4 linked regions of the Sus scrofa genome follow. The protein of the gene in region 1 interacts with the protein of each later gene in a pairwise test. Links are inferred from orthologs where the notes say so. Each region holds a gene or a part of one and is shown on either strand. Other genes may lie near its edges.

Region 1 (5,186 bases):
GCGACAAAGTCCCCAGCCTCAAGACGCCCCACTTTCCTGTCCTCTCTGCAGCCGCCCGAGTCCCCGCCTCGCCGAGACAGCCTGGCCTCCCTGTTCCCCAGTGAGGAGGAGAAAGGTGGGTGTGGGGAGCTTTGCCCTGGGAGGGAACTCGGGTTCGCTGGACCCCAAGGTCTCTGCGGGGGGGGTGGGGAAGGTTGAGGCGCCATGTCAGGCTAAAGCAGATGGCTGTGGCCACAGTCCCTCAAGCCAGGTGGCTCCCGTGTTTACATGCCACAAGCCGGGTAGACACCTGTGGTCCCAGGGGTGTCTGTGTCCCCTCACGTGGGGCTGGAGGGATAGGAGGCCTGCAGTGACTTGGCGCCCCTGGCACCCCCAGGTCCTGAGGCAGCGGGGGCCGCCGCGGCCCAGCAGGGTGGCTACGAGATCCCTGCCCGCCTTCGGACCCTGCACAACCTCGTGATCCAGTATGCAGGGCAAGGCCGCTATGAGGTGGCTGTGCCACTGTGCCGCCAGGCCTTAGAGGACCTCGAACGGAGCTCAGGCCACTGCCACCCTGACGTGGCCACCATGCTCAACATCCTGGCGCTAGTGTACCGGTAAGGGCTGGGGCCGCTGCGGCTGGAGGGGGCAGGAAGGGCAGGGCCTGTTTGGTAGAAGAGGGGGAGCCCTGGTCTCCTGCCTTGCCAGCATGGGCACCTGGGATGGTGGCAGGGAAAGGGGTCAGGGATCTGGCAAGGCCAGAGATCCTGGCAAAGAGGAGTCAGCCTGGCCACCAGAGTGGAGAAGAGACTGGGGGGCGGCAGGGACCCCAAGCTAGACTTGGGAGGTGTGGGAACACCCAGAAGGGACCCCCAAAGGGTGCCCCCCATGCTTGGATCAGCCCAGCCCATGGCCCTGCTACCCGGCCTGGCCTAACCGCCTCCACCCCTGGGCCGCCCCACAGGGACCAGAACAAGTACAAAGAGGCCACAGACCTGCTCCACGATGCCCTGCAGATCCGGGAGCAGACCCTGGGCCCTGAGCACCCGGCGGTGAGCGGGGGCCCCGGAGGAAGGGAGGGCTGTGCGCTGTGGGCCTCTGACCCCTGACCTGCCTACCCCACACCCCCAGGTGGCCGCCACCCTCAACAACCTGGCCGTCCTCTACGGGAAGCGGGGGCGTTACCGGGAGGCGGAGCCCCTGTGCCAGCGCGCCCTGGAGATCCGTGAGAAGGTCCTGCTCCCTGGGAGCCCCTGTCGTGTGTAGCCCTTCCCATTTGATCCTGAAACACTCAATTCGGCAGGACCCTTGCTTGCTCCGGTGACCTCTGACCTTTTGGGCCCCTCCCACTTTGCACCCAGAGCCCTCAATCCCCTGACCCACCACCCTTGACCTACCATGACTTCCACTGGGCCTTGACTCCTGGCTCTGACCCCCTCCTCTTGCGACTCGCCTCCTGGCCCCCCTCCCCCCCAGTCCTGAGCTCCCAACCCCACTCCTGATCTTCCAACCCCAGGTGACCAGTGCAACCCCATCCTTGACGTATAATCATGAGGTTCTGGACCCCCATGATCTCTGACCTGACTAATCCCATCTGATGGTGCAGCCCCTGTCTCCCACTCCGACCTCCTAGAATCTTCCACAGAGGTCCTGTGGTCACCGATTCGTGAACGTGGTCCTCATTCCAGCCACTGGCATCATGTGGCCCATCAGCCCTGGATGACCCCAGTGACATGTGACCCCGTGACCCTTAGGTCCTGGGCGCCGACCACCCGGATGTGGCCAAGCAGCTCAACAACCTGGCCCTGCTCTGCCAGAACCAGGGCAAGTTCGAGGAGGTGGAGCGGCACTACGCCCGGGCCCTGAGCATTTACGAGGCCCTGGGGGGGCCCCACGACCCCAACGTGGCCAAGACCAAGAACAACCTGGTGAGTGCGCTCCCCCCCTGGGGGTGGGGGGACAGCCAGGGCCCGGCGTCCGCTCGAGGGTGGGATACCTGACTTTGCCCGGCCCTGGAGGGGTCCCGTGAGACTCGGCTTCCGAGCTGGGCCCTGGCAGGCAAGGCTGCTCAGCCCAGAGGTCAGCGCCAGGCGACGAGGCAGCCGCGGAGACCAGCCAGGAGCAGATGAGCGCATTTATTGAGCTAGACCCCTTCCTAGCACTTGCCCTGTACTGCCCATCTCTTCAAGGGCCCCACGAGGTAGGTGCTCCTGCCGCCCCATTCTGCAGACGAGGACACGGAGGCAAAGACAGGTGTGGCTCAAGGTCGAGGGGGAGCAGGCTCCTGCTCTGAGTCAGGGAGGCAGCTGCCCTGGGGGAAGCGGTGGGGTCGGGCGCCGAGCCCACTCTGCTGCAGGCTGAGGCCTGGAGTGTAGGGTGAGCCCAGGTGTCTCCCAGGGGGGGGCTGGGAAGCTCCCAGATTTGAGCCAAGCTCACCCAGGCCCTCACCTCCCCGCAGGCCTCAGCCTACCTGAAGCAGAACAAGTACCAGCAGGCGGAAGAGCTGTACAAAGAAATCCTCCGCAGGGAGGACCTGCCCGCGCCCCTCGGTGAGCCCCCAGTCCCGCCCTCCCCCAGGAGGCTGCTCAGGGTCCCCACTACCATGTCCTCATCTGTTCCCTAGGAGCCCTGAAAACAGGCACAGCCGGGGGTGCAGAACAGCAGGTGAGGAGGGGCTTCGCTCGGCTCCCGGGGGATGGGGGGGTGGACCGGCTGGATGGGAGGACTGACTGGCGCCCCCCTCCCAGAGGCTTCGGCGGAGCAGCTCCTTCTCCAAGCTCCGGGAGTCCATCCGGCGGGGAAGCGAGAAGCTGGTCTCCCGGCTCCGAGGGGAGGCGGCGGCAGGGGCAGCGGGGTGAGTGTGGGATCAGGTGGGGGAGAGCCTGGACAGACGCCCCCTCTGTAGCCCTCCTGTCCTGCTCAAGAACCTTCCACGGCTCCCGTCTCCCCCGCAACACATACAAGCACCCCTGTGCTGGAGGGTCTGCCCCAGGACAGGAGCCCGACACGCCCAGACTCACGGGTGCCCCACCTCCTCCAGGATGAAGAGAGCCGTGTCCCTCAACGTGCTGAACGTGGATGGGCCAAGGGCCACTGGGCTCCCGGTGAGGGGGGTCCCTGGGGCAAGGAGGGAGTGGGGGACCACGAGGTCGGGCCCAGAGGCAAGGGAAGGGGGGGATGGCACGGGAAAGGACCCCAGGACGGGGGCCTGGATGGGTTATCCGGGCAGAGGCGGGAGAGGTGGGGACAGGAGGATGAGTGACACAGCCAGTGGCGGCCAGGCTGCCAGGGAGTAGCCCTAGTGGCAGCTGGAGCAGAGTTAGGTCCGGGCCTCACTCACCCACCTACCCCCCGTGCCTCTTTCCAGTTCTCCAGCCGGCACCTAAGTGAGGCTTCCCGGACCCTCAGCGCCAGCACCCAGGACCTTGGCCCTCGATAAAGGCGACAAGACCACGCGGCCGCAGCATCTCGGGAGGAATGGGAGAGGGTGGGGAGGGAAGGGGAGCCTCCCACTGTCCTTTCTCCTGCCATTAAAGGCTGTGGATGTGGCAGCCAAAATGCACGCCTGACCTTCCAGCACCTCCCCGGGGCCAGGTAAGACTGGGCATGATGCGCACACCTTGGCGGCCCCGCCTGGCTCATGCTACAGCTGCTGCGCGATCTGCTCTATCCTCCGCAGCGTCTCCTCTGACTCGAGCTGCTCCAGGCTGAGCAGGGACAGGCCCAGCTGGTCCTCCTGCAGGGGAGGGAGAAAGCAGGTCAGACGGCTGCCGCACATCCGACCCAGGGTCCACGCCGCAGCCAGTAGTGAAGGGAGGTGGCCCGCCTGAGGCCACGGGACAGGATGCTTGAATCTGGAAACATGTCCAGTGCAGAGCGGACCACTCCTGTCAACAGAGGACAGGCCGGCAGAGGGGCTGCATCCAAGGCGGAGCAGGACCGGCTTTCCAGAGGCCCCTTGGACGCACGCTGACCTCTGCAGCCCCCAGGCCTGGCACATGGGCGCACACAAACCTGTCAGGGGCGGGGGGTGTTGGGGCTCAAGGAGAAAGCAAGCCAGGGTCCCTCCTGTAAGAGGAGCTCGGTCGCCCGGGGCTCACCCGGTGGAATGGCTGTGCCATCTGCCTCAGGAAGTACTTGGCAACCTGGACCCCCTCGTCGACGGTCAGGTTGAGGTTGGCGTCTGTGAGGTGCTCCTGGATCCAGCGGGGCAATTTCCCCCGCTTGTCTGCCCGGGCGAACCGCTTTGAGCGGGAGAGAGGCCAGGTGTCAGGACCGTGGGAGGGGGGCCCGGGCACCCCCAGCCGGGCCCGACTCCTCACCTTGTCAGCGAAGACCATGAGGCCGTAGTCCGTCTTGCCCCTGATGGCCCGACCCACACACTGGGCCGCGTGGCGCATGGCGTCGAAGGTAAGAAAGTCATTCTCTCGAATCTGGAACTGGTCCCGCAGGTATTCCAGCCGCGCCTGCAGGTGCAGAGAGGGGAGACGTCCCTTCCTCACGCCGCACAAGACCCCAGGGGAAGGCCCAACAGAAGCCCGCCTCCTCCCGCTGCTCACCTTGAGAATGCGGCTCTGGGTGTACACGTACGGCACGCCGAACATGATGACGGCCCGCCCGTAGTGGTGCACTGGGGGCGGGGGGCGAGGGGGCGTCAGTGCGGCCCAGGGCTGGAGGGAGGGCAGGCCCCCGGGTGAGCCCAGGCCGTGGGCGGTGGGTGGTCCCCGGGGAAGCAGAAACGGCCGGAGCTCCAGGCAGGCCCTCGGGAGGGGAAAGCCTGGTCCACTCACCAAAATCGATTCCCTCGGACACTTTGCCTCGGGCCACCGAGAGCAGGATGGCCCCACGGCCGTTCTCGCAGGCCTGGAGGGGGGAGGCCAGGATACGAGACGCGTCACCTCAGAGCTGTCTCCTCTGGCCCTTCTCCACCCTGGACTCTCAGCATCTCCCGCCCTCCCCCCCAATAATACCCACCTCCTGGTACTTCTCCAGGGCGACACTGGTCTCAGCCCCATCTTGAGTCTCGATAAAGAGCAGCTTGTTCCTCTGGATGTTTTCAAGGATGCCCTAGGGAGGGACACCAGGGAGGTCAGGGTGCAGGTTGGCAGAAAGATTAAAGGACAGGGGCGTCCCGGTTAAACTCAGCTCTGCCACCGATTCCCATGCAACAGACCACTTGTCACCCTGGGTCACGGCTTGCCCATCAG
Region 2 (6,550 bases), on another chromosome or scaffold:
CCCATCCCTCATCTCCTTCTCTTTCCTTCACTTTATTCTTCTTTATCGAAACGATCACTTATTCTAAATGCCAAATGCTTTATTTATTTAGTTAGTTCTTTTTCTGTCCCCTCTCACTAGAGAATAAACTTCCTAACATCTGGAATGACGGATCCTTAGAACAGCACCTATTATCTGGTAGGTGCTCAATAAATATGAAAATGGTGGTGTCCTTTAAGGCACAAGTCATATTGCCAGGTGTAAACTATGCACAGAAATATTTGTTGAAGATGATCTAATCTGTAAAGGAAAAGCACTTAAAATTTTTTAAAAAGTTTATTCCCCCTGAAATGGATGAACTTATAATTTCTTCTCTGACTTGATTTATATGCTTTTTAAAATAACAAAAACCAATTTTGATATGTGATTTTTTTTTTCCCTGTAAAGAAGACAAATGTGGGGATTTATAAACTTACTACAAACAGGTGTTCTTAAGAGGCATAGAGCTTTATTCAGAGTCAAGTGTGGGCAATTAGAATGCAAATCTGAAAATCTTTACTTGCCTCTCCCTGACTCTGGGTGGTAATTTTCTCTTAAAAAAAAAAAAAAAAAAAAAAGACGAACAAAAATATGTTTCACCAAACACCAAAACCTATGCGTGTGTATTTGTAGCAGTAAAACAAAGAGATGGGGTGGAGATGCCTTTGCCAGTTGCCACACAAGTGCGAAGGCATTTCTGACAAAGAGTAGCCACAGTTGGGACACCTCGGGTAACTGCATATGCAAATTAGCGCTGGGAAAATATTCCTGAGATTCACCTCCCATGAAGTCCTTTGAGAAGTCATTACACGTTGGGAAACCTCCTAATCCTTAACATTTATGGGAAACAGAGCGAAGCACTTCAAGTAACAAAGCTGGGGCTGAACAGCTGAACAGGGGTGGTGGCTGGAAAAAAGAAGTATGACTGATTCAGGTTTGGGAAAGTTGAGGTCTTCAGAGCTGCTCTATCTAGAGTATTTTTATACTGTTTTCCCAGACACTGCTGAAGCAAGCATTGACTCTAAAAATATTCATAACCTACTGGCATCCTTGGATGTAGAAGGAGTCACATTAAAATGATTACAATTATGTCAAACTTGTCTCTTTTTTTTTTTTTCCCCCTTGGTCATCTCTAATCAAATATTAGGGGGCATAACATCAGTAGGCTCAGACCTCACAGAAACTCAGAATTATATTCCCAACATCGGCAAAGCAAAAGTTTAGCCCATTTCACGCACAAGGAACTCAGCTAATCAACACAAGTATTCAAAGAGCTGCAAACATGTGATGGGTGGTGCCTGGCAGGCTTCTTGCTTCCCAGTTGGAAGAGGCCCTCAACATCACCCAGAGCAGGGAGTTTCCATTGTGGCTCAGTGGTAATGAACTGACCAGTATCCATGAGGACATGGATTTGATCTCTGGCCTTGCTCAGTGGGTTAAGGACCCCGCGTTGCAGAGAGCTTCGGTGTAGGTCACAGAGGTGGCTTGGATTTGGCATTGCTGTGGCTGTGGTGTAGGCCGGCAGTTGTAACTCTGACTCAACCCCTACCTGGGAACCTCCATATGCCGTGGGTGTGGTCCTAAAAAGACCAAAAAAAAAAAAAATTACCTAGAGCAGAAAATTTTCCTATGACACAGGACTGTCAAGAGCTTGAATTTACTGCCATATGCTATCCAAATGGTTTCATTTACTGTTTTTTTTTCCCCTAAATTAAGGAGGAAAGACTGTATGTACAACACAGGACATTACGGGGGTTATTTGGGGAAAATGTAGTAAAAAAGTACTTGTGGTTTCCCTGCAAGCCCTGGGCCACACAACTAGTCAAGCCTCAGCCTGAGATTTTATCTAAAGAATGCTGGATTGCCACTCATTTGCCCATCTGGAAGATGGGAACGTCTGTTCACCGACAGTTAACGAGGCTTACAAGGGTGCTGTGCTAAGAACCTGTTGCGGTGGGCTGGACACAAAGTCTATAAAGACAGGGCAGTACCTGCCTACAATGAAATGCTCACAAGTTAGTGGAGCACACCTGCTATTATCATCACTGACCTCTCTCTTTTTGGAGAGCGATGGTGAGAGAAGGGTATCAAAATTTATATTTAGCGGAGTCTTCTGCGCCTCAATGGTAACTTATTTACTGGTCAAAGATCTTCCTAGGTGGGTCCTGCTTTCTCTCTTTTACAGATGAAACTAAGCTAGGGATGAAGTGCTTCCCCGAGGTCACACAACCACTCAGTGGCGGAGACCACCGTGAACGCGAGCTGTCTGGCTCCACGGTTCCCATAGAGGAGAAAGGCGGGAGGAGGCAGGAGGACGACGAGAATGGGAGAATGGGAGAGGGGCGAGGGGAGGAGTACACAGGGGCCCGTTTCCCTTCGTTAGAGAAAATGCCAGCAACGCCATCCACTTGTTGATTTGCACATTTCCATCACTTTAGCTGCCGGCGTCACTGCTAGGAATGGAAAACTGAAAGACTCCCCAACTCTTTAAGGTTTGGTTTGCTTCCCGAGAGGACATAGCCACAGGTGATGCGAATTGATGCCTTCTCTGTTCCCGGCGCCAGCCAGGCCGTCTGCGGCAACGAACTACAACCCCACCATGCACCGCGCGGTTCCGAGGGCCACGCCAAGGGAACAAGAGGGTGACCCAAAGGTGCCTTGAGGGGAAAAAAAAAAAAAAAATCACCTACATTTTCCTGGCTTTCCCACCTTCACGTTGACCTCACTCCCAGCACGGTCCGCCATATTTTTAAGTGAGCAGCTCATACAGAGAAGTGTGCCGAGTCTCTTCTGTCTTCAGGCATGACAGAGGGCAGGCTCGATGCCTGCGCGCGGGTGCGAGGTCCCCAGGCCAGGCGCGGGGCGGAGTCAGCAGCGGCTGGGCGGGGACGCAGACCGGAAATATGCGAGGGCAAGGGAGAAGCTTGAGTGGCTGCGGGCGCGCGCTTCCGGCCGGGGCGTCGACGTTGGCCGGCTGCGCAGGGCGCCGCTGCGGGCTCTTCGGCCACCACTTTACGCGTTCCGCTCGCCTCCAGGTTGCCAGTCTCGTCTCTTCTCGCCGTAGGCCGTGACGACATGAGCGGCAAAGAAGGTGGCGTCCTCGACAATTTGGGGCGTTATTTCTGTGTTTAGTCCAGGCTTCTGGTCACATTTCCCACTTCTCACCCTTGCGGGATGCCCTCTCACCCTGAAGGCTCGGGGCGGGGGTGCTGCCCTAGTGATTTTTGCGGCCACAGTGGCCTGTTTATGCCTCGTGTTTTCTTAAATTCTCGAGCCGTTTTTCATCTTAGTTCGATAGTTGCTCTGTAAGGAAGCCGTTAGTGGAGGCCCGGATGGTGAGCCTAAGGTTTGGGAGGACAAGGCAGGGTCCTTCTGCTGAGAAAGCCTCTCTGTGGATACCGGTTGTAGAGAAAGGAACGCGTTTGCCCGCTGTAAATTTTTGTCAGCTCTTGGTAATGGAAGAGCCCCGTCCAACCTTTTTTTCCTTCTCTATGTAAGGTTCAGGAGGGTTCAGGAAAAGGAAGCATGACAATTTCCCACATAACCAAAGAAGAGAAGGGAAGGATCTTAATTCATCTTCACCTGTGATGTTGGCCTTCAAATGTAAGTTCTCTGTCATGCAAGCTGGCGAAGGGAAGAGAACTAAAGAGCTTGTCACGAGGGTTACTTAGCCATGTCCTACACGTGAAAACAGCCGCCAGGAATTTTCCTGGAGGTGTTGGCGATGGTGCTAGGTCTGCCATGAAAGTTGAGATTACAAAAGTGTTGACTTTTTTTTTCCGCATTGCAGTTTCACAAGTAAACATTAGTTTACTAACATCAGACGTGCTACATAACGAAAAATTACTGAGTGATATGTAAATATATGTGTCAAGGGTGTGTGTATACATATATCTATTATGTATATATTTATGTTGGGTGTGTGTATATGTACCAACTGTATATGTGTATATCAGCGATGTGTGCATATACATCAGCTGTATGTGTACATATATTTAATTAATTTTAACGTGTTGGTTTTGTTTCCTTAGCTAGACTTTTGAAGACAGGGACTGGTTTTTTTTTTTGTTTTTTTGGTTTTTTTTGTCTTTTTGCCTTTTCTGGGGCCGCTCCCATGGCACATGGAGGTTCCCAGGCTAGGGGTCTAATCAGAGCTGTAGCTGCCGGCCTCCGCCACAGCCACAGCCACAGCAACGCGGGATCCAAGCCGCGTCTGCAACCTACATCACAGCTCACGGCAACGTCGGATCGTTAACCCCCTGAGCAAGGCCAGGGATCGAATCCGTAGCCTCATGTTTCCTAGTCGGATTCGTTAACCATTGAGCCACGACAGGAACTCCCAGGGACTGTATTTTATCTTTTCACAGAGTATGAATGCATTTCTATTAGTAAATCAAACGTGTATGTATTCACAGTTGCCCTTGTCTCAGCATGTTAACTTGGTCAAGTTGTTACTCATTTCAAAGAGAAACATAAAACAAAGTCCTCCCTCCTCTCTTCTGTCCAGCATCCTATCCTTATAGTTTTTGTGGTTTTGGAATCCATGAGGGGCTTAGTTAGCTGTTGGTTCTGACTTGCAGTCATGTGCAGGCTATGCTTGGGCTGGAGGATCCACAGCTATTGACAAATTAGGCTTTCTGCCAAGAACCAGCTCCAGGTTCCTCTACATGGACCCTCGGTAGAACTGCTTGAATGTCCTCAAGCGTGGCATCTGGCTTCCCCTAGACTGAGAGATGGGAGGAGATCACCCTTCTCTTATGTCCTAATCTAGGACATCATACTTTCTCACTTTTGCTACATTCTATTTGTTAGAAATGAGCAGTTTAAAAACTCCGCCTCATATTTAAGTGGAAGGGAATTAGCTTCCATTTTTTGGAGGGAGGTATCTCATGATTTGTGGACATAAATTTCTTTTTTTTTTCCTTTTCTTTTTTTATGCTTTTTAGGGCTGCATGTGCAGCATATGGAAGTTCCCGTGCTAGGAGTCAAATCGGAGCTATAGCTGCTGGTCTGCACCACAGCAACGCCAGATTCGAGCCGCATCTGCCACCTACTCTGCACCTCACGGCAACATCTGATCCTTAACCCACTGAGTAAGGCCAGGGATTGAACTTGTATGCTCATGGATAGCATTGGGTTTGTTTCCACTGAGCCACAATGGGAACTACAATTTGTGGATATGTTTTAAAACCACCACAGCACCTAGTGATCTTCAGGGATGTGAGACAACTAGTTATAATTGAGTAGAGAGCATACTGATAGTGTTATATACTCCGTGGAAACACTATATTGGGTCAAGTATTCACCGTTATACTCTCACACATTCTACATGGAGCTGCTTGTTTCTACACATATTTTGCTGTTTTATGTTTCTACTTGTCTAGTGCACATAGTTCTTTAAGCTTGGAATTGTTTCTAACTTGATGACCCTGTTGAATGTCTGGTATGCCATAGTTTTCTTCAAGACCCAGCTCAAGCAGCTTCTTCCTTTGAAGCCTTTTCTGATTTACCTCTCAAACAAACTTGGTGACAAACATTGCATTCATTGAACATCTGTCTATTCAGTTGGGAAATTTTGAGTGTCTGTATTCTAGCATGTGTTGGTAGTGAACAGGAAAATTGTAGTTCCTACTTTGCTGAACCATACGTGTACATTTACATATATATACCCACACATATAAACATACGTATATATATAATAGCATGATCACATTTAATTATTCCTTTATATCTGTGTCTCATTCTGGACTGAACTCCTTAAGGATTTGAAACTGCTTTATTTAACTTTGAAGTCATAGTATCTAATTTACAGTTGTGATCAATGTATTTGTAATAGTGAATACATTTGATTGTCTTGAAACATTAGACAAAATCCTAGCCTAATTATTGTCTCAATAACCAGATGTATTTAGGTCCTTGTCAGCTATTAATTTGGTTAATAATTTATTCTATAGTTTTTATTCATGCAAAATATGCCTGTGGATTGCTCCCTATAGGACTGCAACTTGCTAGGTCTTTGGTGTGACAATGCCTCTGAAATAAAGTGGTTATTCAGGTGGTTTAAGTGCTTAGGGGTATTTCAACAGCTAGGGCTTGAAAATTCAGAGAGTTGATGTTATCAGAGGCTATACACTTTATTTATTTATTTTGGCTTTTTAGGGCTGCACCTGTGGCATCTGGAAGTTTCCAGGCTAAGGGTTTAAAAGGAGCTGTACCTGCCGACCTTCACCACAGCCACAGCAACATGGGATCCAGGCCATGTCTGTGACCTATACCACAGCTCACAGTAATGCCAGATCCTTAACTCACTGGGCGAGGCCAGGGATCAAACCCATGTCCTCATGGATTCTAGTCAGATTCGTTATTGTCGAGGCATAATGGGAACTCCATAAACTTTTAATTTAAAAATTCTGGTTTCTTTTTTGTTGATATTTATATTGTATATGAATAAGGTAGGTAAAATAGCACAGCGAGATAGATGGAAGTATTTTTTGTAAGTAGTTATGTGTGATAATTTTGTGATAACAGTCCA
Region 3 (5,201 bases), on another chromosome or scaffold:
TTCCCTCGGGGCCACGTGAATGGTGGCCGGTACTTACTTGTTCACAGCCTCCTCCCGGTCCGAGAGAGCGCCGCTTAAGGCCTCCTGGGGGTCCTCTTGCGCCCACAGTTCCTTCTGCCTTTGCAGCTCATCCCGCAGGGACTGTAGCTCTGTCCGCTGCAGCTCAATCTGCTGGCAGGGGAGAGAGGATGCAGAAAGGCAGGGAGGCCCCTGGGTGAACAGGGCAGGTAGTCCTTGCTCCTCCAGGCAGCCCAGGCTCCAGCTTGATCCTCCCCCCATCTCTCCCTGCTCCACAAACTACTCTGACAGCTAAGGTCCTGTGCTGGGGATGAACCTTCTGATCCCCTAGACTGGGGTGGGGTGGGGTAGGGAAGGTATGAGGCTGTAGGAAGGATATATGGAAGCATTGGGAGGTGGGGCTAAGGGGGGAAAGTAGTCCAGGAAGTCTCCCTGGAGGAGGTAACATACAGGCTGCCTCTTGAGAGACGATTGCGAGTTTGTTGGGATGAAGGGCTGTCTAGGTAGAGGGGGATTAATAGCGAAGACTCGGAGGTATAGATGGAAAAGAGAAATCGATAGGGGCTCTGCATGCAGTATTATGGTCCCCCCCCACCTCATCCTGCAACCGGACTACTTCCGCCTCCTTCTCTTCCAGCATCTCCCCTCGGCTCAGGGATGCTTGCTTCCTGGGAGGCTCTAAATTCTCTTTCTGGGGCGAAGGCTGGTGGCTGGATGCTTCTTGGGTCTCCAGGGACAGGGTGGTCTGTTCACCAAAGGAATCACTCAGTAAAGTGACCTCCCGCGAAAAGGAGGAGGGGAGGGGTCTGCAGCTCTCCTGCACGGTACCTGTTGTGAGCTGGTGGACAGAGAGCTCGCTAGAGTATCTCTGCATCTGTCCGTGTTCTGGTCTTGGTCGTGGTCGCTGTCAAGGCTGTGGGCAAGCTCCAGCTGCAGCGAGGCTCCCGAGATGTCTGCATCCTGGAGGCGCGACTCCTCCTCCAGTTCTGAGACGCGCCGCTGCAGCCTCCGCAGCGCGCTCAGTGCCTCCCCGGCCTCGGAGCGCGCGCGTTCCAGCTGCGAAACAGGGGCGGTCAGCCGGCTTCTCCCGCGGCCGGCCCACAGGGGGCGCTAGCACGCCGCGGAGAGTCAGCACCCCGCGTCCGGGAACTCTGAAGTCGCCTCCCGCTCCCGGATGGCCCGGCAGCCTTGGGTCGCGCAGTTCCCCTCGGCAGGTACCAATTTCCTTACCTATAAAGCAGGGCGCCAGTGGGAACCCCGGCTTTAAAGTTGCCCATCGTCCTCCCTCCAGTCCCACCCCATCAGGTCACCTCGAAAAGCCCCGCCCCTTCCCCTTCCCCCTTCCCCCTTCCCCCCAACCTGCCCGGGTCCACCTCTTTCATCCAGCGTTTATTGACCTTTCTAAGCTGGTGATGTGCTGAGTGTCTCAGCCCCTCACCACAGCCATGTACTATTACCCTCCCATCTCACAGACAGGGACACTGAGGCTGGTGTCCCGCAGTAAAAAGGGACGTGGGGCTAAGAACTCAGGTAATTTGACCCCCAAGTGCAAACTTCTGACATCTCAAGCATCAAGCCGTGCTGCCCACTATCATTCCCCTTTCCCCGTTTTCAAGCCCAGACCTGGCCCAGGTCCCCATCATCCCTGACCTGAGCTCTGGCCTCAGCCCCATCCCAGCCTCTCCAGCTGCCAGACTCTGATGGGTTCCGAGAGTGAACCAGCCCCACTCAGTATCCTCCCATGGCTCTCACTTGGCCTTAGGCTGATGCCCACATGCTTGTGGGCTCCCAGCGACCCAGCTCTGGTCTCTTCTCCCAGGAAGCCGTGAGGCAGTGGCCAAGGCCCCGGGGAGAGCCTCCCCATCCCAACCCACCTCCAGACTGTGCTCCCGCCTCTCGCGCCGTAACAGCAGCAGCTCCTCGTGGGTTGCCTGTAGTCTGCCCTGGCCCTTCTCCACCTCCTCACGCAGGCCTCGAATCTGGCTCTCCAGGTCCTGTCGGCGGCCCTGCAGCATCTGATTCTGGGGAGAGGCCTCCGAGCTGGAGTGGAAATGCTAGGCCAGCTCCTCATAGCCCCCATTGCAGCCTTGCTGGTTCAATAGACCCCCAGCCCCAGCTGGCACTCACCTCCCCCTGCAGACTCTCCAGCCGCGTCCTCAGCTCTGCCCCAGCCAGGGCCTGAGCCTGGCACTGCCCCCGAAGGCCATCCAGTTCCCTCTGAAGCTCCTGCTCGGTCTGGGAGGCCTGGGGATGGGGGGGTGGGGCGGTGGAGCCCTCAACTGGCCTGAGCCTCAACGCCAGGCCCAGTGCACCCACCTCCACCGGGACCCAGGCACCTGCCCCCTCCTTGCCCAGGGCCCTGGGGTCAGGGCTGTCCCACCTGGGCCAGCTGCTGGCTGAGCCGGAGGTTCTGTTCGCTGAGTTCAGTGAGAGCCCGCACCCGCTCACGGCCGCTGTCCTGCTGCTCTGATCGCTGCTCTCCCAGCTGGGCCCGGAGGGCCTCCACGTCCCCCTCCAGCTCCACGGCCCTGGCCTCCCACTCAGCTCCCTGTGCAGCCAGGCCCCGGCGGAGCTCATGGTTCTCCTGCTGCAGCCGCTGGCAGAACAGAGGGTCAGAGGCAGAGAGGCAGAGGTGAGCGTGCAGGGGTCTGAGACTGATGGTGGAGCCAGCAATGGGGAGGGCACCGGGGAGGAGGTGGGCAGGGAGGCAACACATGGTCCAGGCAGTAGGACAGGAGGGGGAGAAGTAGAAGCTTCCAGGAGGGGCTGACCATGGGCCGGAGTTGGGGTGGTGGCAGGGGGCGTCTTCCTGAGGCCCACTCACCTCTGGCTGCTGCCTGGGCTTCTGGACCCGAGGTCGCAGGCGCCGTTTGTGGCGCCTGAGTCTGGCAGAGTTGAAGCCCCGGCCCATGGCCTCCCTCACCTGTGATCCAGGGACTCCGGACGTTTAGCTTCTGCCCAGCCTCTGCTCAGCCCCTCTCCCAGAGCTGCTCCCAGCCAGCTCCCTCTAATTAACCCTGGTCAGCTCCACCCTGGCCCCACGCCTCTGCCTTCCCTCCCCAAAACCTGTCTAACCAGCAGGGGGACGCTCCTGGCACACCCAGATGCCCAGCTTGGGAAGGCAGGCAAGCCAGGGGGCCAGAGGCTCCCCAGACTCTCCCAGCAGGAAGATGATGCTCCCCCAGCTGCCACGGGGCCTGGCAGGCACTTCACCTGTGCTATTGTGTTAACTCCCTAGAGTTAGACTCCCTAACGTCCTCATTGTATAGATGAGGACACGGGGCCTCAGAGAGGGTAAATGCCTTGCCCGGGGACACACAGCTGGGTCCTAGAGCAGGGAATCTAACCCAGGCCGCCAAGCCCTTAACCAGGTACTGAGGGGGCCACAAAGCTTAGGATTAAACCCATGGGTTTGGGGTCCGATTGTCCTGGCTGATACCCAGGTCAGGCAAGACCCACCCATCCAGAGTTCCCATTGTGGCTCAGCAGAAGCAAATCTGCCTAGGATCCATGAGGACGCAGGTTCAATCCCTGGCCTTGCTCAGTGAGTTAAGGATCCAGTGCTGCCGTGAGCTGTGGTGTAGATTGCAGATGTGGCTTGGATCTGGCATTGCTGTGGCTGTGGTGTAGATGGGCAGCTGTAGCTTGGGATTCAACCCCTAGCCTGGAACCCTCCATACGCCATGGGTGTGGCCACACACAAAAAGAAACCCCCGGAAGCAATCCATGAAGAGGAGCAGGGATAAGTGGGGGCTCTTTCAGGGGGAAGAGGTGTCTAAATTGACTCCCGTGGGGCAGGAAGAACCAGGGTTACAGGGAAGGACCTTAAATGCACATGACCCAAGGCTACAAGCACAGGTCACCTGAGGAACTGAAAAAAGGCCCCGTCAGAGAAGGGGAGGTATGGCTGGGACTTTTTAGTTTCACTGTAAGTATGACGGGGAGCTGCTGGGAGATTCTGAGCAAGGACTGAAGTGGTGCGATTTGTAATTTTTGAAGATCTCTCTGGCTGCCCCGTGGAAAAGGCACTCCAGCGGGCAAGGGTGGAAACAGGACCAGCGAGCAGGGGCAGAGATGATGGGACAGGAGAAGTGGGCAGACTCGGAATCTAGTTTCAAAGAAGAAGCAACAGGGCTTGGAGTTCCTATCGTGGCTGAGCAGAAATGAACGCAGCTAGGATCCATGAGGACGTTGGTTTGATCCCTGGCCTCACTCAGTGGGTTAAGGATCCGGCGTAGCCTCGAGCTGTAGTGCAGGTGGTAGAGGTGGCTTGGATCTGGTGTGGCTGTGGCTGTGGCTGTGGCCTAGGCCAGGGGCAGCAGCTCCAATTCAACCCCGAATCTGGAAACTTCATATGCCAGAGGTGTGGCCCTAAAAAGCAAAAGAAGAGAGAAAGAAAGAAAGAAGGCCCAGGGCTTGCCGACGTGGGAGGAGAGCGGTCTACCAGCTGCGCAGGGTCTGGTCCCGCAGTGTGAACCCAGGGTAGCACGTGATGGGGGCATGGAATCCAGGGCCACTTATGTTGAGATGCCCCTTAGGGGGCCAGGTGGAGAGGGTGTGGGGGGTGAGGATGTGGATACAGGAGTCAGTGGGGTCCAGGGGACCAGATGTGACCCTCAGGGAATGTGGCTGACCAGAATCTGGGAAAACTGTCCCTGTCTCACAGAGCTGGTGAGAACTGACCTGGACGATCCAGGGAAAGTGCTTAGCTCGGAGCCGGGCAGGGAGGGAGCACCCGGGAGCTGCTGCCTGGGGTTGTGCAATCCTGCAGAGGGCCGCACGGCCAGGAAGGGATCTGCACCCAGGTCTCGACTTGTCCTCAGAGCCCACGTTCTTTTTTTTTTTCCCTCTTTTTTCTTTAAGGCTGCACCTGCCCCTGCAGCATAAGGAATTTCCTGGGCCAGGGGCCCTAGCCCACACCACAGCCACGCAGGATCCAAGCCGCATCTGCAACCTACACTGCCAGATCCCCAACCCACTGAGTGAGGCCAGGGATCGAACCCACACCCTCACGGACACTATGTAGGATTCTCAACACTCTGAACCACAGCAGGAACTCCATCAGAGCCCCTGTTCTTAACCACTGCCAGGGGCACTGGTCCCAGAGGCATCCATCCCCTGTGCCTGGCGTGCCTCTCCCTGCACACCTGGCTCCCACCTCCCCACAGCCTGGTCCCTGCCAC
Region 4 (6,004 bases), on another chromosome or scaffold:
CTAGTGAAACTGATTGCAGACTCTGAGGCTTTAGAACTGTGGAACAGGAGTTCTCTTGTGGCACAACAGGTTAAGAATCCAGCATTCTCACCCTAGCAGCTCATGTGGCTGCTGTGGCACAGGTTTAATCCCTGGCCTGGGAACTTGTGCATGCCTCAGTTGCTGCAAAAAAAAAAAAAACAAAACAAAAAAACAAAACAAACAAAAACCTGTGAAACAGTCCACTTTTGTTGTCTTAATAGGTCCTGAGTTTGTGGTAATTTTTAATAGCAATCTCAGGAAATTAACATAAACCCTCACAACAAAGAATTTTCTAGCCCAGGCTGTCAGTAGTGCTTATGCTAAGAAACACTGTCTTAAGGTTTTGTTTTTTTTTTCCTTCTTTTCACTTTTTTAAAGTATGCTTGCTTTACAGTGTTGTGTTAGTTTCATATGTGCAGCAAAGTGATTCAGATGTGTGTGTGTATGTGTGTGCTTCAGATTCTTTTCCCTTGTAGGTTATTACAGGATATTGAATATAGTTCCCCAAGCTATATGGCAACCTTGTTCTTAAGGATTGAGTTAGAACCTCCCCTTAACTGATTGGCTGGATTAGCCATTCCTCTCCATGTTCATTCTTGCTCTTGTGACACTGCATGCTCATGGCTACTATGCACATCTTCAGGGTTAAAAGTCAGTTATGTTTGTTTCCAAAATGTTTTGTGCCAGTTGTCCTTATGAATAAATTTCTGGTTTAAATATTGAGTAAGCCAATAAAATATGACATTGAAGATCTTGATCTTGGATGACATTAGTTAATCAGTGTTTTTATGTTTTATGTTTCAAAAGTTAAAATGCCTCAGGGCATGTAAATATCATTTCTTGATTCTTTGTTGGAAATGATCTCGAGGTCTTCCCTCTTTAAGTGAGAGTGATGAATTTATCAGTCAGAAAACTGTAGGTTTTCAGTTATACCACTAGAGGGTTCACTTCCAAAACTAATTGTGATTTGGCCATAGATATTAGGATCCAGGAATTTAGTAAGTACAAGAGGTCTTAAAGGTAACCCACTGTGCTGATTTTATAGCTGACACTTACCTTCATTTTACTCCATTTGTTTAAATGTAAAATAAGAATAGCTCTTGCTGAAACTCAGAGCTGGAATGGTATTATCTTATTCATAATTTTTCACACACAAGATACTGTCCCAAGGGTTTTGATGCAAACACTGCTTTATTTGCTTTATGAAATAAGTCACTCATTTGGAGCACATGGCTGGCTAATTAGCCCTGTTTCTCTCATCATTCCTTATAAAAATCATGAGATTTATATTCTTTGTTTTGTGGTAGTTGAATAATATAAAGGGCCCAGGTGGAGAATCCTTGTGTGCTTAGTCACTGTAGTAGTTTGCTTTTAGCATAAGGAGGGTATTTTTGTTTTCTTGGTGATGCTTCATTGTATAGGTTCCGCATTGTGTTAAAGCAAAGCATCATTGACGGGTATTTATAAGCATTTTTCCTTCATTGCATATTACATAATAATGTTTTCCTTGTACATGAGGCCCTCCATCTGTAGGACAGAATGTTATGAATATAGTTGGTGGTAGAGAACAAAGATTGTTTACTAAATCATATAGGGATTTTTTAAAAGCCTTAAAACTGAGTAAAGTGACCATGGTAGGATTTGGAAAAAATACTGACTAGCAAAGCCTGCTTATCGTTATGCTGTACACGACGCGGGCTAAGCAGCAGAAGCTATAGTAACTTGAGTATGGTGTTCATTGAATTCTAATGTGAAATAATAATCCTGATAATAATAACCACATTTCAGGAGTGTTCTTTGTTGTTCCCAAAACTAGATGGGAAAATATTATTCATCCCCTTTATGAGAACCATACTTTTCATTATCTGATGTGGATCCTTTCTTTTATATACATATAGGCATGAGAAACTTGGTAAAAAAATATGAACCACCCAGATCTGAAGAAGTTGCTGTTCTGAAACAGAAGTTGGAGAGATGTCACTCTCCTGAGCTTGCACTTAACGTAATTACGTAAGTAGATGGGACACTGTTATCCTAGAACAGATATAACTATTATTGTGTTTAGCTTAAAATGTCATTTAATTGGTGAATGCTCATATGGGTAAAACTGACTTACCTATTAAATCAGATTTTTTTTCAACAGGATTAAACACGAGATAATAAAAGAATTTGGCTTTTTATAGTCAATTCTGCTCCTGCTGTGATTAACGTGTTCTTTGGCTTGTGGGATCCCATGAGGCAGAGTCTTCCTAGGGAATTCATGAACCTCTTCTTGTCCTTTTAATCTCTAGGTTTTTTGTAGGTCTGGTTATCTCCTCTGGAGAACAAGTACACTGTTCCAGATTTATTTCTATTAGCTAGGGTATGGAAATTTGGCATATTTTCTCTCAGTGGTAAACTTTATATTGAAGACAGAATCAATAGGAAAATGTGCTGTTAGATTTCTTGTTGCATCCATAAGGAACACTGTAATACGTCTTATTGACTTGTTGCTGAATGTGGAATTCACTATATTTGAGCTCTTTATCACCTGCAGCTTGAAGATCTGCTTACACCTTTCAGGTGTTTAAACAGTTGGGGATCTGGGTAGGTAATAAGAATGGTAAAATTATTATTTTATATTTTCTGTGGAACACATTCTGTAAAACTTAGTGGGAGGTAGGTCTGTCATCTTACAGTTGAGATGCATTTGAGATGTTTCTGATTCCATAATTGATGACTATATTGTTATTGGATAATATATGAGACATCAGACCAGAATTCTAAGGCCTTCAGATCAGGTACTTGTAACTCAAATTCTTCTAACTATAAAGCTATAGTAGGAGAATATCCCAGGACTTATGATGTGTGTAAAATATGGGACTATTTTATATTTGTAGCTGTAACTGCAAAACATGGCTTAGAATAGAACCTAAAATTGGTAAATTTCACTCCTGGGTTTCAGTGTTACAGCAAAAGTAAAGAAAAATGTTGACTTTAATGAATGAAAGTATTGCAGTACTGATTTATAATCTTTTCACATTGATTTTGAAATGGGCTTATTAGACCAGGTGTTGGCACACTGTGGCCCAAGGGCCAAATCTGGGCCACAACCTGTTTTTAGAAATAGTTTTATTGGAACATAGATCCATCTAGCATACTGTGTATTGCTGTTTTCAGACTATAGCAGAAGAATTGTGTAGTTGTGACAGAAACTACATGCCCGTACAAGAATTAAAATACTCACTATATGGCCTTTTGAAGAAAAATTTGTCCACCTCTGAATTAGACCACTCAACTATTGATCTTACTCTTCTAGCTAGGTGACTGAATGGACCATAATCCAAAGTTCCTAATTGGCCAGAGTTTACATCTTTCTTTCAAGTGTACTGTGTTAAGCAAACCCTGCATATCTATGAGTACTTAAAGGGCGATTCTCAAACTGTAAAGGACTGTTAATTTTCTTTTTAACCCATTACAGACCTACACTTACATAAAATATTAACAAATAATTACTCGAAAAAAGAAAATGACAAAAAAATAAGCTTAAATTTTATTAGATTCAATAAGCTTAATTTTATTAGATTCAGTAGTCATAAATAAATCTATCAAATTCCTATAAAAATTTCTAAACACACACTCAATTTCTATACTTATCTCATTGCACGCTGGAAATGGTCCATAAATCACACTTACAAGCACTACTTTAGGATAAAATATTTTTTCTTGGTCTTTAAAATTCTTTTATCTTTTTTAATACACAAGTAATATAGTGTCATTATTAAAGCCAATTTAATACAGGTAAACCAGAGTTCTCTTTAACCAAAACCCAAATCCCAGTTTCATCCCGAGAGGTAACTTATAGTTGTTATCTTTGCCAAGCTTTTCACTATTATGTATTTAGAAAAGGGTTTTTTCCCTTTTCATTGTTTTCATACACATTGTACAACATTTAATAGTATCAGTATTTAACTTCTGCCAGTCTGGGTGAAGAAATAATCATCACATCGGTATTTTAATTTGCATTTCTCTTATTATTCTGATACTGATATTTCCATGTCAAATAATCCTGTTTCTTCTGTATTGCATAATTATAACCTCTGCCCAACTTTCTTGTCTTGTTTTCTTATGGTTCTTTTTATATACTCCTCTTTTTATATTTATCATAGACCTACTTTCTTTTGTTGCTTCTTTTACTTTGTGACATAGGCAGCTTGTCTTTTGCTTTATGCTCGTACACCTGAACACCTTGTCTTACTCTGTATTTTGCCTTTTGTTTAGCTGTTAAAACTATTTAGAATTGTATGTGATTGGTTTGAGGTAGAAATCTCACTAATTTTTGTTCAAAGTAAACTTGTATCAGCCATTTAAAAATATTTCATGATTTTCTCTAGTTATTTAAAATAGTCATTTATTACAGATTAAACTCCTATATATACTTTGTACTGATCATTGATCTTTAACTCTTTGCTAATACAGACAGCCCTTCATATCTGTGGATGCAGAGCACCAAATGTACGAATATTACCATTTCATAAAAGGGACTTGAGCATCAGGATTTTGGTATCTTGAGGGGTGGGGGTGGGGTTCCTGGAGCCAGTCTTCCTCAGATATCAAAGAATGACTGTACCATACTTTTAATTACCATAGTTTATATAAAGTATGTTTTGATGTTAGGTGGGACATGCTCCCCATATTTTGTTCTTTTTCATATTCTTTTGCTATTTTTGTGTAATCTTTTCCTGGTCAGAGTTAAGCTTAGGAAAAATTTTATTAGGATTTTAATTAGAATTGGATTGAATTTTTTTATTTTGCTGCATCATGCAGCACCTTGATATGGGATCTCAATTCCCAGACCAGGGATCAAAACCGGTCCACAACGATGAAAGCACTGATCCTAACCGCCAGATCACCAAGGAACTCTGCAAACTGCACTGTCTTTAAAGAGTAATTTGAAAGATAATTGCCTTCCTACCCATAATTCTTCACCTTTTTCCATTTATCCAGGGTTTGTTCTGTAGATATGTCAAAAAAAGATAGCTTGTTTGAGAGATTTACAGAATCTTGCTAGTTTAACCATGCTAGATTCTGTTGCCAGTATTAGATTGCTTATTGATGGTTGCTTAATTACAGCAAGAAGAGGAAAGGTTATGAAGATGATGATTATGTCTCAAAGAAATCCAAACATGAGGAGGTATGTTCTCCAAAGGTAAATTTTAACTTACTGTTGTTGTTTATTCTGGTATGACAATAGTGTTAAGATTTTATTGTTCCAGAGTGCGGGCATTATAGACAGAGGTGTGGGTATTAGAAAGCTTTTTTTTTTTTTTTTTTTTTTTTTGCATCTTTATGTACATTGTCTATTACAGGAATTTTTCTCACTTCCATCTTAGCCTGTTCTGAAGCAGTATAGTAGTTACTTCATGAAGAATCCCTCCTAAGGTCATAGAAGCCAGTAGGGATATATAGACATGCTAAATTTTGTCATATTTTTTTAATCTTCAGGGATTCTTCACCTACCCTTTTTTGAAAAAAAAAAACTATACCTGGCAAGTCAGATGCAAATGAATAATCAGAGGCAGAGGGTCACATCTGTAACATTTATTCCTATCACTGGAGTTGTCTGATGAGATGAATTCTTATTATGCAAATTTTCCTGGTTTAATTACCTTCTATAATCAGCATAGCGAAGAGTTCATTTTCAAATCTGAGAAGAGGCAGGAAGGTAAACAATACTGGTTATTATTCAGTATAATATTATCCTTGATATTTTCTTTCTTTCTTAGGAAGAATGGACTGATGATGACCTGGTAGATTCCCTGTAACCATCCGAAAGTGACCTGTTAATACTCGCTCATCAACAGTAAGATGAAGCATATCTGGCATTTCACTTTATTTAAAAATGAAATTGTGTGAAAGCATCAAAATGTTAAACTTTTCTATTATTTAATTTTTTTTTTTCTTTCAGGATAGATTTATGTGAGATCAAACATCTTCAAATGGG

The links.
Region 2: the proteins of KLC3 (region 1) and TSNAX interact in binary tests that used the Homo sapiens proteins (3 or more experiments, as listed by UniProt). The two-hybrid records come from large-scale screens. The link is inferred for Sus scrofa from reciprocal best matches to the Homo sapiens genes KLC3 and TSNAX.
Region 3: the proteins of KLC3 (region 1) and BICDL2 interact in binary tests that used the Homo sapiens proteins (3 or more experiments, as listed by UniProt). The two-hybrid records come from large-scale screens. The link is inferred for Sus scrofa from reciprocal best matches to the Homo sapiens genes KLC3 and BICDL2.
Region 4: the proteins of KLC3 (region 1) and CCNH interact in binary tests that used the Homo sapiens proteins (3 or more experiments, as listed by UniProt). The two-hybrid records come from large-scale screens. The link is inferred for Sus scrofa from reciprocal best matches to the Homo sapiens genes KLC3 and CCNH.

What each region holds. Positions count from the first base shown.
Region 1 is NC_010448.4:51,732,223-51,737,408, forward strand, and holds the end of KLC3 (kinesin light chain 3), read left to right. Parts: intron 1-51; coding exon 52-115; intron 116-376; coding exon 377-596; intron 597-943; coding exon 944-1,031; intron 1,032-1,110; coding exon 1,111-1,212; intron 1,213-1,733; coding exon 1,734-1,907; intron 1,908-2,095; exon of another isoform or gene 2,096-2,437; coding exon 2,438-2,528; exon of another isoform or gene 2,529-2,602; coding exon 2,603-2,643; exon of another isoform or gene 2,644-2,726; coding exon 2,727-2,833; exon of another isoform or gene 2,834-3,019; coding exon 3,020-3,083; exon of another isoform or gene 3,084-3,346; coding exon 3,347-3,418; 3' UTR 3,419-3,531; downstream 3,532-5,186. Other genes in the region: ERCC2 (TFIIH basal transcription factor complex helicase XPD subunit), read right to left, coding at 3,623-3,715, 4,080-4,223, 4,302-4,445, 4,539-4,609, 4,770-4,842, 4,954-5,046. UniProt on the Homo sapiens protein: Kinesin is a microtubule-associated force-producing protein that may play a role in organelle transport. Plays a role during spermiogenesis in the development of the sperm tail midpiece and in the normal function of spermatozoa.
Region 2 is NC_010456.5:59,054,730-59,061,279, reverse strand, and holds the start of TSNAX (translin-associated protein X), read left to right. Parts: upstream 1-2,979; 5' UTR 2,980-3,093; coding exon 3,094-3,109; intron 3,110-3,516; coding exon 3,517-3,621; intron 3,622-6,550.
Region 3 is NC_010445.4:39,155,356-39,160,556, reverse strand, and holds part of BICDL2 (BICD family-like cargo adapter 2), read right to left. Parts: intron 3,554-5,201; exon of another isoform or gene 2,930-3,553; coding exon of another isoform or gene 2,843-2,929; intron 2,615-2,842; coding exon 2,399-2,614; intron 2,263-2,398; coding exon 2,146-2,262; intron 2,040-2,145; coding exon 1,893-2,039; intron 1,075-1,892; coding exon 847-1,074; intron 764-846; coding exon 614-763; intron 169-613; coding exon 38-168; intron 1-37.
Region 4 is NC_010444.4:94,992,792-94,998,795, reverse strand, and holds the end of CCNH (cyclin-H), read left to right. Parts: intron 1-1,919; coding exon 1,920-2,031; exon of another isoform or gene 2,032-5,133; coding exon 5,134-5,194; coding exon of another isoform or gene 5,195-5,209; exon of another isoform or gene 5,210-5,786; coding exon 5,787-5,825; downstream 5,826-6,004. UniProt on the Homo sapiens protein: Regulates CDK7, the catalytic subunit of the CDK-activating kinase (CAK) enzymatic complex. CAK activates the cyclin-associated kinases CDK1, CDK2, CDK4 and CDK6 by threonine phosphorylation.